Tamandua tetradactyla: one gene and its partner. The protein of the gene in region 1 purifies or fractionates together with the protein of each later gene. This does not show direct contact. Links are inferred from orthologs where the notes say so. Each region holds a gene or a part of one and is shown in the gene's direction. Other genes may lie near its edges.

What was found. The genes of interacting proteins can lie anywhere in the genome.
Region 2: the proteins of NUP107 (region 1) and SEC13 purify together in Homo sapiens (affinity purification with mass spectrometry; 8 studies listed by BioGRID and IntAct, counting the BioPlex papers as one, with this or other methods). This does not show direct contact. The link is inferred for Tamandua tetradactyla from reciprocal best matches to the Homo sapiens genes NUP107 and SEC13.

The regions. Positions count from the first base shown.
Region 1 is NC_135333.1:136,834,490-136,841,905, forward strand, and holds the start of NUP107 (nuclear pore complex protein Nup107), read left to right. Parts: upstream 1-4,366; 5' UTR 4,367-4,624; coding exon 4,625-4,632; intron 4,633-5,911; coding exon 5,912-6,003; intron 6,004-6,457; coding exon 6,458-6,544; intron 6,545-7,160; coding exon 7,161-7,276; intron 7,277-7,416. UniProt on the Homo sapiens protein: Plays a role in the nuclear pore complex (NPC) assembly and/or maintenance. Required for the assembly of peripheral proteins into the NPC. May anchor NUP62 to the NPC. Involved in nephrogenesis.
Region 2 is NC_135335.1:38,755,876-38,763,793, forward strand, and holds the start of SEC13 (protein SEC13 homolog), read left to right. Parts: upstream 1-4,901; 5' UTR 4,902-5,015; coding exon 5,016-5,018; intron 5,019-7,918. UniProt on the Homo sapiens protein: Functions as a component of the nuclear pore complex (NPC) and the COPII coat. At the endoplasmic reticulum, SEC13 is involved in the biogenesis of COPII-coated vesicles.

The DNA.
Region 1 (7,416 bases):
TTCCTGTCATTTGACTTCCTTCCATATTCACACTTTTCAGATTAGCACCTTCTAAATTGGCTTTAAGACCAATTCAAAATTACAGTTTCAAGGATGCCCCTTCTGCATTAGAACATAGCATCTTGAGCCCCTGGAGATTTGCACAATCAAACACTGATCCAGAGAGATCAGCTCATTCAAGATCTGCACAGCAGAGATTAGCATGTGCAAGCCTGCAACGGCTTATACTGGCCATTTTGAAGTTAATGTATTGAAGGTACAAATGAGAAAGATCAGCACCACTGAAGTTCAAACCCTGCCAAAGCAACTCTGATTTAATTGGAGTGGCTAGTAGAAATTGGACAAATTCTTTTCTGGATATTGGTGAATGATCCTCTAGTGGTTAAGAATTCTTTATTGCCACTTCAAGATGTTCAATCAATGAGTCAATAACAAAAAATCTTACTTCTTCTAATACGCCTAGTAAATTAATGTCATCATTTACAATGAGCTGTCCATGACGCAAATAGTTCACAATGGGTTCAAAGTACTCAGGACTTCAGTCAATTAAGAAACTCCTCTACAATCTTGCTTATTTCCCCAGACACCTTTGTCTTTAAACACGTGGGCCAGCATACTATAGGTTCTTCATTTACCAAAGTGCTCTGTGTAGTTGTAAACTACCGCCCTCCATTAGCCAATCTGTGTGGGATCCTGTCAGTCCTTCAGGTGGTTTAGAATCTAAGGATCAATAAATTGTTCTCCTTCACATACAAACTAAACATCATCATCCCTGATCAAAGCAATATCATCAATCAGCCCACCTTTCTCATTATACATGCTGGTGGCTGATGCCAAGTTTATTACTGGCCACAGAAAGCAAATCAAATAAAGTTCCATACAAAGCAACCACTTCTCCATTCTTGGGGCTGCTGTTAAGGAACAGGGTTACCCGCCTCATCATGCTGCCCCCTCTGGGTCCAGAGTGAGCCGCCACCTTCGCACCTTTTTCTTCTCCTGCCCTTCTCCTCCCTCCACCCACTCCAACTCTCCTCCCTTGTCACCTGCAGCCTCTTACCATGAATAAACTTTCACTAGCAAGGACATCATTGTTGACCTTGTTTAGAACTTTAGCAGTGGGGTTGAATCAGACAGCATCAGGTTGTACTGTAAATGGAAGTGGAGACAAAAAGTCAAAAAAGAATGTTCTCTTTTCCTCTCTTTTTTTAAATGACTAAATTAAACATGGTGTAGATGAATAATTTCTGATATAAAAGATGTTCATATGTGGTGAAAAAGCAGATTATAAAACAGTGTTATAGTATAATCCCACTTGTTCTAATTATCTTTGGGGGGTGGGTAGGCACGGTCCAGGAAAGGAATCTAATTATGTTTTGCTGTATAACAAGCCACCCCCAAATTTACTGGCATAAAACAATAATATATTATTATTTCTCTTGGTTCTGGGGATAAATTGGATTCAGCTGGGCAATTCATGATGCGGGTTTCTCATGGACTATAGTCAGATATAGTGAATAGGCTTATGAAAATTCTTTAATTTGTCCCTTTGCTTATTGTCTAGTTTCTTATCGTTCCATAATAGACACACATATTGGATTTATAGTAAGAAAGCCAATAATAGCTATTTAAAATGTACCAAAACAGAAGTTTGGCTGAGAAGGGATGAAGAAAGAAAAGATGGCAGATAGAAAGAAAAGCAGGTAAAAGGATGTTTTCTTTTGAAAGTGGGGTGGAGAGGGGTGGTGGTGTCAGTCATATTTTGAGGCCAAGGTAAACTCCTCTTTCACGTCAGCTGATGTGATTGACACCTACGAAGTATTTCTGCACACACACACTCAATGCGTTCAAATGTGTTGACCATGAGGAAACAATCAGACAAATCCAAACTAAAAGACATACTGTAGTACTGATCTGGCCTCTTCAAAATAGTGACTTAAAAGGGGGAAAAACGTCTGGGGACTATTATAAATTAAAATAGAACAAAGAGACACATGACAACTAACTGTATGATCCTATATTGGACTGTGGTGATTTGAAGCTATATGTACTCCAGAAAGACATGTTCTTAAATTTAATTCAACTTATATAAACTCATTTTAACTAGGACCTTTTGATGAGGCTACTTCAGTTAAGGTGTGACTCACACTCATTTAGAATGGGTCTTAATCCTTTACTGGAATCCTTTATAAGAGATTACAATTCAGATAGAGAAAAAGAAAGCCACAGAAGCAAGAAAATGAAATCCAGAAGAGAAGGGAGAAACTAGAAGATGCCACCATATGCCGCCTGCCATATGACAGAGGAACAGGGCTCGCCAGCCAGTCTTTGGGAAGAAAGCATCACCATGATGATGCCTTGATTTGGACATTCTCATGGCCTCAAACTGTAAGTTAAAACGTTCCCATTCATTGTTTAAATCCAACTCGTTTCATAGTATCTGCTTTGAGCAGCATCGGAAATGAAAACATGGATCCAGGATTGTGGAGAGGACAGGTATAAAGAACATTATTAGGACAGTTAGGGAAATTTAAATATGGTAGTTACATCATTGTTTAATGTTCTGAGTGGGGAAATTTCATTGTGACTATGTAGGAGAATGTCTCCTTGTTTTTAGGAGATGTATGCTCAAGTATTTAGGGTGAAGTGTTAAAGATGACTGCAACTAACTCTCAAAAGGTTCAAGAAAAAAGAGAGAAAACGTGAGAAATGTACTGTAGGTTTGGAACTTTTCCACATAAAAAGTAGGGGAGGGGAAAAAAAAACAGATTCTTCTACAGGGTGTGTGTGTGAGTGTGTGTGTGCTCCAGATCAAAATGTTCTGTCTTGAGTGCTTGTGGGATGGCTGCTTCCTGGCCCCCTAGTTGCCTGGAGGTATGAGTTTTCAAAGTCCTTTCTCCAACTTTTTGATAAAAATCTATGAGCTTCTGCTATGCTTCCAGTAAATTCCCTTTTGTTTAAATTAGCCATAGTGAATTTTTATCATTGCAACCAAGAACTCGAACATAAAACCAGCATGTATACAATATACACCACACAAGGAGTTTATTCCACATAGTTTTAAGGCAACCAAATGAATAAACTTTTAAATGTTTGGGGGCATCAAGATGTTCTTGCCTACTAATGAAATGTGACAAAAGTGAATCCCTGTACACTTGTTAACAAATTTACTATACTTGAATATGAACTGAACAGGTCTATTACTTTGCCCAAAGCTGCTGCTGCTTTTTCTACTGTGCTTTAAGATCAATCACTTAATGTATACCTAAAATGGAAATCAGCAAGGGTCACTGAAATAAGCGACCCAAAACACAACAAAGCAAAGAATAACTTATATCAGTAAAACCCACTGGAATTCATTTGCGGAAGGGACACACGTAAAGGCGCCACTGGTTCACACTTCGAATAAATGTGCCTCCCCACTGACAAAAATAATTTAGAACCACAGTTCACTTTCCATAAGAGAACAAGTGCACTTTTGTACAGGAAAATTAGGAGGTGGGGAACATGAGCGAGTTCCAAGATGTGATTCATCACCCGGGTTACTGAAGGAGAAAATTAATATTTCGATGATCTACCATGTGCAGTGCACATTTGCGATCTCATTTTTAATCCTCACAACTTCGTGATAGAGGTGTTTTTATCTTCATCCTGCAGAGTCCTAAAGGAATCTGCGGGCAGAGACGATCAAACCTCGATCGGGGCACACCAAAATCACCTTTATTCAACACGCTGTGTTGCCTCAGGGTAGATAAGGTTATGACGAGGCCTTTCTGGGAACGAAGGTTCCCAGAATTTGAGCGGAATGTAAATGCCTAAAGCAAAACTTCAACTGATCTCTTTGGAGCCAAAATAGACACTACTTTTTGCCGAGGCGGCGCTTTGAAATAGAGAGCAACCCATCGCCTTTCACGCTGCTTTTCGACTTTTTAGAACAGCTGATCCTTTTCCTCTTAATGGGAAAAAAAAATCAAGTGAAGGACAAATAGCAATTACTGAGAACAGTTTCAAAATCTGTAGGGGGTTATATCACCAATTCAAACCAGGTGAGTGCAGTGATTGAGTCAGGGACCCTGTAGGTGTAGGCAGAGCCAGCACGTCAGGATTCCAAGTCCAGACATCTTCTAACCAAGAATACAAGAAAATTATTCACATTTTTCAATATTAGCAGTCTACGTCGCCAAGCTTCCAGTACCTTAGCTCAGCGCGGAGACAAACACCACTGAGGAAAAGCGAAGACATACGTCACGGCCAAACGGGTCACGGCCAAACAGGTCAAGACCCACCTCCTGCCCACCCCCCGCCCCCGGCCCAGACCCCGCCCCCAGCCCAACCGGGCCCTGCTGGGCGCGGTCACACACGGACATCCGTTCGCGCCTGCGCCGATCAGGCCGGCACCGGCGCCTACGGGAGGAAAGGGTTGCGCATGCGCCCGATAGTAAAGTCATGGGCTTTTTTGCGCTTTTTGTTTGTTTCCTTTCTTCTCCCCCATCTCTTTTCACTAACGGGAGTTCAGTCGGGAGTGCTTCCGGGTTGAAGGGTTTGCTTCCGGAACGCGGGAAGGCAGAAACGCGGTAGCTCATTTAGATCCGAATTGCAACCTAAGTTGGTTAAGAAGGCCATAGCCATGGACAGGTCAGTTCTGGTGGTGACAGCTTAACCCGGGAACTTGTCCCTATTGCCTGCTGGTGGAACGGAATAGGTGAAACCCGACTTACAGAGGAAGCCAAAGAGGTCTTGTGTGCTCTCTCTAGATTCCTTTCACTGGCTGGGAGCTGATGTAAGAAAGGCTGCTTGGCTGGGATGAGGGGTGGAGCATACAGATAATGATAATCGCCTGCGTTCCTACGGTGACTCTGTGATCTATCTATTCTGCGCTTCCACACATTTTTCGCTTCTAGGGTGGGCAGGCTAAGTGGTGGCTCTGGATTAGAGATGCTCAGTGACTGCTTGAGATCACAAAGCCAGTGACGGAACCGGAATCCAAATTCAGACTTTTGGTTCCTGGCAGTAGCCAACAATTGAGTGTCAACTGTGTGATTGCCACTGTGCTAAACATTTAAGCATATTATTAGCTAATTTAGTCTTTATAACAGCGGAGAGAATAGGCAGTCTCATCCTCTCTTCATAGATGAGAACATTGTGTGAAGTTAAAAGAGATAAACTTGAGTCAAAGTTAGGAAGTTAATGAGCAGAACTGAGTTCCCTTGATGAGTGAATAGGTGTTCATCGGGTAGACAAGGGGATAAATGTAGGTCTCTGTAAAAGGAGCAGCATGTATAAAGGTGTGAGGGTGTGAAAGTACATGCATTGTGTAGATAAATGGTCATATGTAGTATATATTTGTATGGCAGTGATGTTTATGACTGAATGTAAGGCCAAACCTGTAAGCTGGGATCAGGTTGTGAATACCAGGCAAAGGAATTTAGACTTGATTCTATAAGCTGGAGGGAGCTAAGTTTGTTAAGGTAGGTCAGACTTGAGGGTTTTAAGTGGAAGAAAAGCAAATTAGATTTGTGTTTTAGAACACAGATCTCTGAATCCATGCAGTTTAGTTTCTAGACCTTTGGATGAGAACAACAGGGGAACTCTGGAGCATTATAAGTACAACATTGGTAAGACAGGAGACAGGGTACCTTGGGGTTGTTTCTCCCAATTTATGGGCATTCGTTTTTATTTAACCTCCCATCTCACAAGCTCAAACATCTCTACTAACCGACTTTTCCATAGTACCCATGGAAGTATTTTGGAGACTACAGAAGATCCTTTAAGATGAGTTTCTCCATCCTGTAGGGGAAAGAACATTTTCCTTCATTAACACTTATAAAATCTTGACCTACCTTAACAAACTTAAGTGCTTTTCTACAGTTGTGATGTAAATGTTCATTCACATGAGCTTGATTGTACTACTTAGGAGTGACTTTGGAGAGATGTCATCCCCTGTGATCCGGGAGGCAGAAGTGACACGGACTGCACGGAAGCAGAGTGCTCAAAAAAGAGTTTTAAGTATCCTTTGCATTTTAGACATCATTATAAAAATTGCAAGATATTTGGAATTTCAGTTATGGAATTTTATTTTTATGAGCAGTATTAACACTAGTTATTAAATATTGTAGCATATAATGCTACATGATAATATAGTAAGTTTTATGTTTCCCTGAAAATGTGTTCCATTTTACTGCTGACTATCATATTGTGGTTAGGTTCTGCTGACATGGTTCCTTTTTTTATTTGAACTTAGACTAAGAACTCTTCATTCACTATATAGTAATTTAAGACTGACAACTTAGAGTTTCATTGACAGAGGAATTTGTTATGTATTGACTGCATAAAAAATAGTTGCTATGAACTGCACTGTTCTTGAAAAAAATGTATTCACATATTTTGTGTAATATAAATATGCTTAATCCTAACTTGATCTCTTTTCTGCATGGAAAATTTTCTTTAACTCTTCTAACAGTTCGAGCATCCCAAGATGAAAATTTAGCTAATACTACACCAAGAAACCAGGTTATCCCTCGAACTCCCAGCTCATTTCGACCGCATTGTAAGATTTTTTTTTTGCTTTTAAAACATCTAATAATAGCACTAATAATAGTGCTAACATTTGTTGTACATGTAATAAATATATTTGGTTGTAATATCAATAATTAATAATAATAATAGTAGTGATTACAGCTACTATTTATTGAATTCTTACCACATGCAAGTTATACTTTGTATAAACACATGGTAGCTGTGATGTAGATATTTTCAATATTTACATTTTTTCAAAATTAAAAGTGAGATTTAGAGATGTTAAATAACTTGGTTAAGTATGTAAGTAATGTAACCAAATTCAAAAGTGGTCTGCTTACTCCAAAACTCATGCTCTCTACACTATACTTCTTTCTTAGTAAGCTTTATAAAATTAGAATATTAAGAATTCATTAACTCATTATTGTTGTGTTTTTTTTTTATTCTTCAGTTATTTTATAATGAAAGCATCTCTATTTGTGGTAAAAACCAAACACTCAAAGTTAGCGGAGCAAAGTTAAATCTCCCAGTCAAGAAAATGTTAACATTTAAAGTATTTATTTGTTTAGACTTTAAAGAACTAAAAACAGAAAATTACTTATGCTGGATTGTTTGTTAGCTTGTTTTTCTTAATCTCTTATTTGTAGTTACTCCCCTGAACCGAAGCTTACTAAGGCAGCCAGATACTTCCGGCATTCTTGGAACAGGAGGAAGGTCGCCCAGGCTTACACAGTCTTCGGGGTTCTTGGGAAATCTGTCCATGGTATGTAGGAGAATGGGGCTGAAATCTTCCCCCTTTTTATGAAGGTATAAAATTCAACTGAAAAACCTTTTCTTTTAATAAGAATTGTCATCGTATTCATCATAAATCAAAATAACTCTGGGTTATATGGATTGAAATTA
Region 2 (7,918 bases), on another chromosome or scaffold:
TTTTCCATAAACTTGTACAGTGCAAAAGACATTTTGAATACCATGATCGATGATGTCCCATGCTTCAAGGAAAAACCAAACCCTTTCCGCCTCGCTTGCAAAATTCATTCCCCACGCTGACCCTTCCCAGAGCTGTTCTGTGTCAGCCTGGCCCCCTTCCTTTCTCTGGGCCCAGAGAACTCTTCCACAAACCAGATGAGATCCACTTGGGAAAAGAGCCATAGTCAGCTGGGAGGGCCTGGGTCTGGATGGCTGTTGGAGAAACTTGAGAGCTTGGGTCCAGAGTCAGCCCAGCCCACCGAGCTAACCCTGCCTGTGAGAAGAAGGCTTTCAAGTAGGACTGTCTTGGGCAGAAAGCATCATCGGAACAGCGTGGAGAAATATCTCTAAATGTTTCCGGCAGAGGAAACCGCACCTCCAGCCCTCGGATATGCCACTGGACTCAGCTGCACCCTCCTGCAGAGGAAGGAAAGACCTGCACATGTGAAACATGGGACAGCCGTGGAACATGGTGTTTTTTGGAGTTTCCTTTCTCACGTTTTCCATCCTCCCCTTCTTTGTACCATTCACATGTCCATAACCTCATCCCGTGACACCAGGGTTGTTCCACTTGCAGGGCAAACAGGAGGGGCCTCTCCAAGGGGAGCCTGGCTTGGGAATAGGGAGTGACAGAAGCCACCTCAGAAAGGACAGCATTCATGTTGGTCTTTTTCTGTCGGGAATGATAGCCCCTCAGTGCACACCCCCTCACTCTCACACTTGCATACATCCCCACACACAGTGGAAATGATTGGTTTGTCAAAACTCACTGTAGTCCGTAAAGCTTGCACTCTGCGTCCTATATCTAGCAGCATGGGGTACGTTTGGCAGTTCACCCCATTAGGGGGTAAATAATTTATGACCATTCATCTGTTTTTATGAATTTTTTTATCTAGACGATAATTGTAAATAAAAAAAACTCACCGTCTCTGTTCATTTAATACTATGCAATGGTTATGCTTTCAATTGCTGACTCCTTAATCCCTCAGTGTGGTTTTGAAATGTCTGGTTAAAAAAAAAAAAGCAAAAAACAACCTCAAACAACATAGTAAGTATATTATACTCTGTACTGTATACTTTTTCTCTATGGCTGGGGCTGCACCATCCACTTAGTTTCTCCTCTGTCCTGCAGACAGGAGCCCCCGGAGAAGATAACTGATTCAGTTCTGAAGTCTAAACTCACCAACTTGCCCCCCATGACAGATGAGGGAAGAGCAGGGAGCCCCATTCAGGGACTCCTAAGGCTATCGAGTCAGCCACCTTTGGAAGTGGGCAGGGAGGAGACTGTGGAATTTCTTTCCTGAAACTCAGGCAGAGCTTTCCCTAACTCAGGAGCAGCCCCGATTGCTCCTGTTAGCCTCTCACCACCACCCCTTGCCCCCCCGTCCCTTTGTCCCAACACGAGGGAGGGCGCCATGCTTCTGAGACCAGACTAATGACAGTGACAGTACTGGAGCAATGCCTCCATCCCTGTCTTATCCTGGGTGTCCCCGATATTGGATAATGCCCTCTTTTTCCCAGCCTTTTAGAAATGCCATGTCTTACAGGGACTTGGGACTGTTTCTGGAATTTCTCTCCTGTTCCCTTTTCTGGGTGTCTCATCTGGCACAAGCCACGCAGTTTTAATGATTGTAGCTTTATAACGTTTTGTTAACCGGTGGGGTGAGTCTGCTTCACTCTTCTCTTACAAAATTTCTTGGTTGTTCTCTTCCATCTGCTCCTTGAAGTCAACTTTAACATTTTGCCAATTCTACCCATCCCTGCCCTCCTCCTACCCCAAATTTTGGGTCCTGTCATTCAGTGTGCAAGCATTTTCCCTTCATTGCAATTACCAGCCACTCAAGGCCGCTAAAGAGAGTGTGCCAGTTGCCAGAAGCCTTGTGCCCCTCCCATCATTTCATCTGTCACCTGAGCTCAGGAGTTGTTAGGAAAGGCCACTGAGCTCCCACCTAATCTCAGCTTGGGAACCAGAGTCACCCCACCATTAGCCTTGCTGGAGGGGGTGCTCCTCCTGCCCCTAGCTCAGCTGAGAAAGTGGCGTCTCTCCCAGACCTGGAGCTACCAGAGCTTCCTAGGAGAGAGACCTTTGTTAGGAATATGTGGCCCAGTTGTCATGTACTTCTAATTTCTCATCGTGGAGAACTGTCTGTTCCCATCTCCCTTTCCTGAGCAGGTTCTGTCTATTTTGGGGTTTGTGTTTTGTTTGGGGGTTGAGAAGCTAAGAACCTCCTGCTCTTACCCAGAGTTTTCAGAGGTTGTGTGACAGGTCCTTTGGGATACAGCAATTTTTCATCTGGACCTTATCACCACTGTTATTCTCCCCACCACATTCTTGTTCTGCCTACAGAAGGCTGCCAACCTAGTGCCCTCTGACAAGCCACCCACAAAAATCTCTCTCCTGACGTAGTGTCTGAAGCCCTACCACTAGAGGGTCTTGGGAGTGGGGGCGGTGTGTGTAGTTCTAGAAAGCCTTTGGATCTTACAGAGCCAAATCCTAAATCAGATAACAGCAGGAAATCCCTGGGTCATTTCCAAGTTCCAAATCAAGCTCCCCAGATTTTGATGCAGAGATCTACCCATGCAAGTAGGGGAAAGGGGGTCTCAGGCTCTGGGCATCAGCCTACACCCCCTCCCCTTAAAACAAGATATTTGAGGCTGCTTTGGGACTGCCCTTCTCAGACCCCTACGTGTTTTGTAATGCCTGTGGTGCTCTCTCTCCCGGACCTTTTGGGGGTCACCACACTTTGCTAACTCTTGTGTGCACATATTTTATAACAGAGTAGCGAGAGAATGGTGCCGCCTCCAGCTTCCACAAGCTGCCTGGGCTCTGGGACAAATGGGACTGGGAAGTGACTGTGCTCTTATTGTACACTCTTTATTTCTCTGTATCTCTGGCTTGTGCTCTCTGTAATGAATGGGATTTGTCTGCCTTTTCAACACTATACTGAGCAATAACAATAAATGCACACGTGGAAACACAGACACGGTACACATCACAAGACCTTTTTCCACAGGACAACTGGGTCTCCACCTCACCCCTCGTGGATTTAAATTCCGGGGAAATTAAGTCCCTGGGAGGGAAGTCCCAAGGCTGTGTATCTCCTTCCACCAGGTCATACCTTCTGGAACAAGTGCATATTCATACCTGAAAATCCAGGAGAGAGACAAACTTAACCTGCCATCAGCTACTGACCCTCCATGAGGAATGGCCAATAGTCCCAGAGAATAAAATCTTAGAAGGGGCCTCAGGAGGAGGAGGAGAAGATGCAGGCAAAGGGACTCGGGGGAGAGGGGGTCACAAATTGGGGAGACCTAAGAGTGGCCTGATTTGGTTCTGGGGGCAGGAGATAATGGACACAGGATGTAAGAAGCATCCCTATTAGGAAGAGGGGAGCCTGGTACCCAAAGTGTCTGAACTTTGTAAACCTCTGCTTAGCATCAGAGCAAGACACCATCCCCAATGTTGAGTGAGGGATGGGAGATGCAGCCACACATGAACCCCAAATCCTAGCCTCTTCCCAGGCCCATCCACTTCCAATTTCACATCCATTTAATCTCATATCAACCTTCAGAGGGTGTATTATTACAGTTCCCACTTGGTACTACTAGCTGGTAGGCAATATAGTATTTAAACTAAGAGTTTCCTTCCTGACCCTGTACTCTAAACCAGTTTATTAACACTGTCTTTCAGGTCTGCAGCAATGCGTAAGATACAGTTTCATTCTCTGTCCCAAATTCTCAATTTCTTTTTCAAGGCCTATGCAAGGACATTCTTTTAATAACAACTATTCCACCATGCATTATATTTATATTATATCTGATATGCCATTATCCCCATTTTCCAGTTCAGGAAACGAGGCTCAGGGAGAAAACTGACTTAGCCTTATCACTGAGAGAAATCAGTGGTGCAGCTACAGACCGGAGGCCAAGGTCTATTCCTTTAAGAACAGGAAACCCAAGAGATCCCCACCTTTATTCTCTGCTCCATACTAGTCCCCACTCCCCCCACCCCCCGCCCCACTTCCCACACAGTCCTGCAATATTTTTCCATTAGAGGGATAAACAAGTCCTGAAATCCGTTGGAAGGAAGTACAAGTCCTGAGTTTCCTCAAGCGGTAATCATCCAGCTAGATTTCTTACCCTGTTTTCAAGAGAGGAAACTGTCATCTAAGGGGAATCTAGGTTCCACGCTGGGTCACTCTCCTCAGTGCCATGAGGGGCCAGACTCCTGGGCCATGTGTGGCAGAAAGGAGCCCCCATCTCTGTCCAGCGGTGCAGGGTTCTCACTGAGCTTACTGGGGTCCTCCCCTTGGACAACCAGGGACTTAAGGACTGGGGACTCTAGTGGTTGGGTCTGGGCTCCAGCTGTAGGAACCTGGCTAAGATCCCTCCTTGCCCGGTCGATTACCTGACGGGCCAGACTCACAGGATCCCGGACCGTGGGGAAGGGCATCGGCCCTATGACTAGGGGAAGGAGGGGTAACAAGCCTCACGGCGTCCCAGCCCTTGGATTCTGAGGAAGGTCTAACAACAAGAAAGTACTGGGTGCGTCCAGTTTACCCACCCATCCCCCAATATTTAATCATCCTACAATGTTTCGTCATAAGGACGGTCGCATCCCGAACCGGAGGGAGGCAGGGGAAGCTGCAGTTATGAATCCTTTCTTTCATTTACGGATCTCAGGAAAAGGGAAGGACTGGCCCGGAGGGAAGACGGTCTTGGTATCTGAGTTTCGGATTCCAAGTGACCCCTGGTCAGGGTCCGGGTGGAACCCGCAGCCTCATCTGGTCAGCCCGCGGGATCCTTAAAGGGGCGGGGCCACGGGAGGGCGCGGCGCGGCCTCTAGACTGCGCGGAACCTTTGCACGCCGGTGTGGGTTGCTACCGGAGACTCCGGCCGAGCGGCACCGGAAGTGAGCCGTTGGGAGGAACCGGGAGCTGCCACGTCCGAGGGCCGGAGCCGCCACTGACGCAGTCATGGTGAGTGTTGGGACCCGGGACACCCAGCGGAATTCGGGCCGGGGTCGCGTCTGCTGACCGGACAGAACTCGCCCTGTCGGATTCCACTGCCGCGTTGCGCTCAGCCCGAGAGAGGGGCCGTCTAGCTTCCTCCACTCTCCCGAGGTTTGGGGTCTTTGGCCCTGCCGCTCGGCTCCTTTCGGAGGGGAAGGCCGCGGAACCTCCCGGAACTCTGCGTGCCGCGCGGCCGCCGCGTCTCTCGTACCTTCCTTTAGTTCCCTTACCTCAACAAACAGAACCCAAAATAGCATTGTAGCTACCGTATCCGAGCCCGTAGTCAGTTCCCAGTGTTGTTCATAAGCTCAGTCTGTCAGTATACCTATGAGGTGGGTGGTATTATTATCAACATTGTACAGATGTGACAACTTAAGGTCCGGAGATGTGGAACGTCTTGCACAGCAGAAGAGTCGCAGAGCTAAGATTCAGTTCTGCCACCTACCACCTGTGCCAGCAGAGATGTTTGTCGAACTCTTACTCAGCGCAGGGCCCCACAGAAGGTACCCTAAGTATGATGATCCCCTCAGGAAACTGAATGTAAGGATGTGCTGAAGGACTTTCTGGAGGGCAGGAGCTGAGGTTTTTATCTCATTGGTATCCACGGTGTACGTGTACTCCAGACTTATTGGGTAGTTGACTGTCCGAACTGAGAAATAGTGGATGGAAGCCTCCATCTTCAGCCCGTGAGGGTTCATTTAAAAACGCTCACTCAGTCACAGACGTGTGGAAACCCCAAGTCAAGACATCGGGTTTAGTTCCTCCTCTTTTGGGTGAAGAGGCTTCAGGTGCTGAATAGGATCTTTTGTGCTCTGATACTCAGCTCATTTTAACTGAATTTTTAACTCATGGACTGACTCTGAGGAGCTGAATTGTTTTGAGTACTGCCTCCTAGAACTTTAAAAAGGAAAACACAGATAACTCCGTGTGCTCGGGAGGAAGTGCTTTAAGAGCTTACAACACACATATTCTTACACATTATATAGATATCCCTGTTTAGCTTATAGTGTCTTGGAGTGGCTAGAGGGAAGTACCTTAAACTGTTGAACTGTGTTCCAGTAGCCTTGATTCTCGAAGATGACAGTATAACTATATAGCTTTTACATTGTGACTGTGGGATTGTGGAAACCCTGTGTCTGATGCTCCTTTTATCCAGGGTATGGAAAGATGAGTTAAAAAAAAAAAGAAGAAGAAGAAGAAGAAACAGAATTAAAAATAAACAAATAATAAGGGGAGGTAAAGGGTAAGAATTGGGTACGTCGAAGTACTGTAGGTCAGTGAGAAGGAGGGATGAGGGGTATGGGATGTATGAGGGGTTTTGTTTGTTTGTTTGTTTGTTTTCTGTTTCTTTTTCTGGAGTGATGCAAGTGTTCTAAAAATGATCATGATGAAGAATACACAACTATGTGGTGGTGTTGTGAGCCATTGATTATATACTGTGGTTGGGCTGAATGTTTGTGGGTAGTTCTCAATAAAAATATTAAAAAAAAACAAAACACACACACATGTTGAGAATCATGGTTCACCAACTCTGGTGGGTGAGAGTGGTTAGAAATAAATGCTAGTTATCTTTAAGGTCCTTTGATGACCTGATATGAAACTACCTCCTAGTAAACTTTCTTCCTGACTCTCCTTAGCCTTCAGTCTTGGATTTAAGGAATACATTGTAACAGCTACTTTATGTTCTAGATAGACAGCCTTGTGGGCTGCAAGCTAGGAGAAAGGCTCCATTCCCAGGTCTGCCTTTCCTTAGTCACTGTGACCAGGTACTTTCTCTTCTCTGAGCTTCAGTTCCTGAGTCAGACATCCCTGATTAACTCTGCCCTTTGTACCTCCAAGCACACATGTGGAATCACTTTGTAACATGTAGTGCTCTACATACATAGGAGACTCTTCCCCTTATCTGTCTTCCTTACTTGCCCTTGCAGTTCTTGGGGATCCTCTCTTTACGGAGTTTAGAATTTCATGAAAGAAGCTGTCTTTACTTGTGTACATTTTGTCCACAAATGCAGCTATCCTCTTCCAGAAACCACCTTTCTGAAAAGCTAAGTCTAAACTTTATATCAGCAGGGCTTGTGTTTGAAAAGATGAAATAGAAGGTATGGTAAATATCAATTCCAGAATATAACTGTGCTTTCAGTCCCTTTTTTTGAAAAAAAATTTTTTAAATACCAAAAAACACCAAACGCAAACATTCTTAACTTTTGATCATTCCAGTCTATATATATAATCAGTAATTCACAATATCATCACATAGTTGCGTATTCATCATCATGATCATTTCTTGGAACATTTGCACGTATTCAGAAAAAGAAATAAAAAGAAAAAAAAATCATACAAACCATACCCCCATCCCTCCCCCTCACTGAACACCAGCATTTCAATCTAAATTTATTTTTACATTTGTTCCCCCTATTATTCATCTTTATTTCATGTTTTACTCATTTGTTGATAAGGCAGATAAAAGGATCATCAGACACAAGGTTTTCACAATCAGACAGTCACGTTGTGAAAGCTATATCATTATACAATCATCTTCAAGAAACATAGCTACTGGAACACAGCTCCACATTTTCAGGCAGTTCCCTCCAGCCTCTCTACTACATCTTGTCAGTTCCTTTTATATCCTAAGAATTTAAAGAGAGTAGTGGTTGAGCAAAGTAAAAATGTCAGTTTTTGTTCATTCATTTGTTCATTCAGCAAGTAGTCACTGTACTGCTAAGTACTGTGCCAGATGATTTGAAGGGATTAAAAATCTGCAGCTAACTCAAACCCTGGCTCCAGGGAGCTCACCTTCTCCTAGGAAGAAGATATAGCATAGAATGTTGTGGACATTCAGCACTGAAGATATTCAGAGGATATGTAGA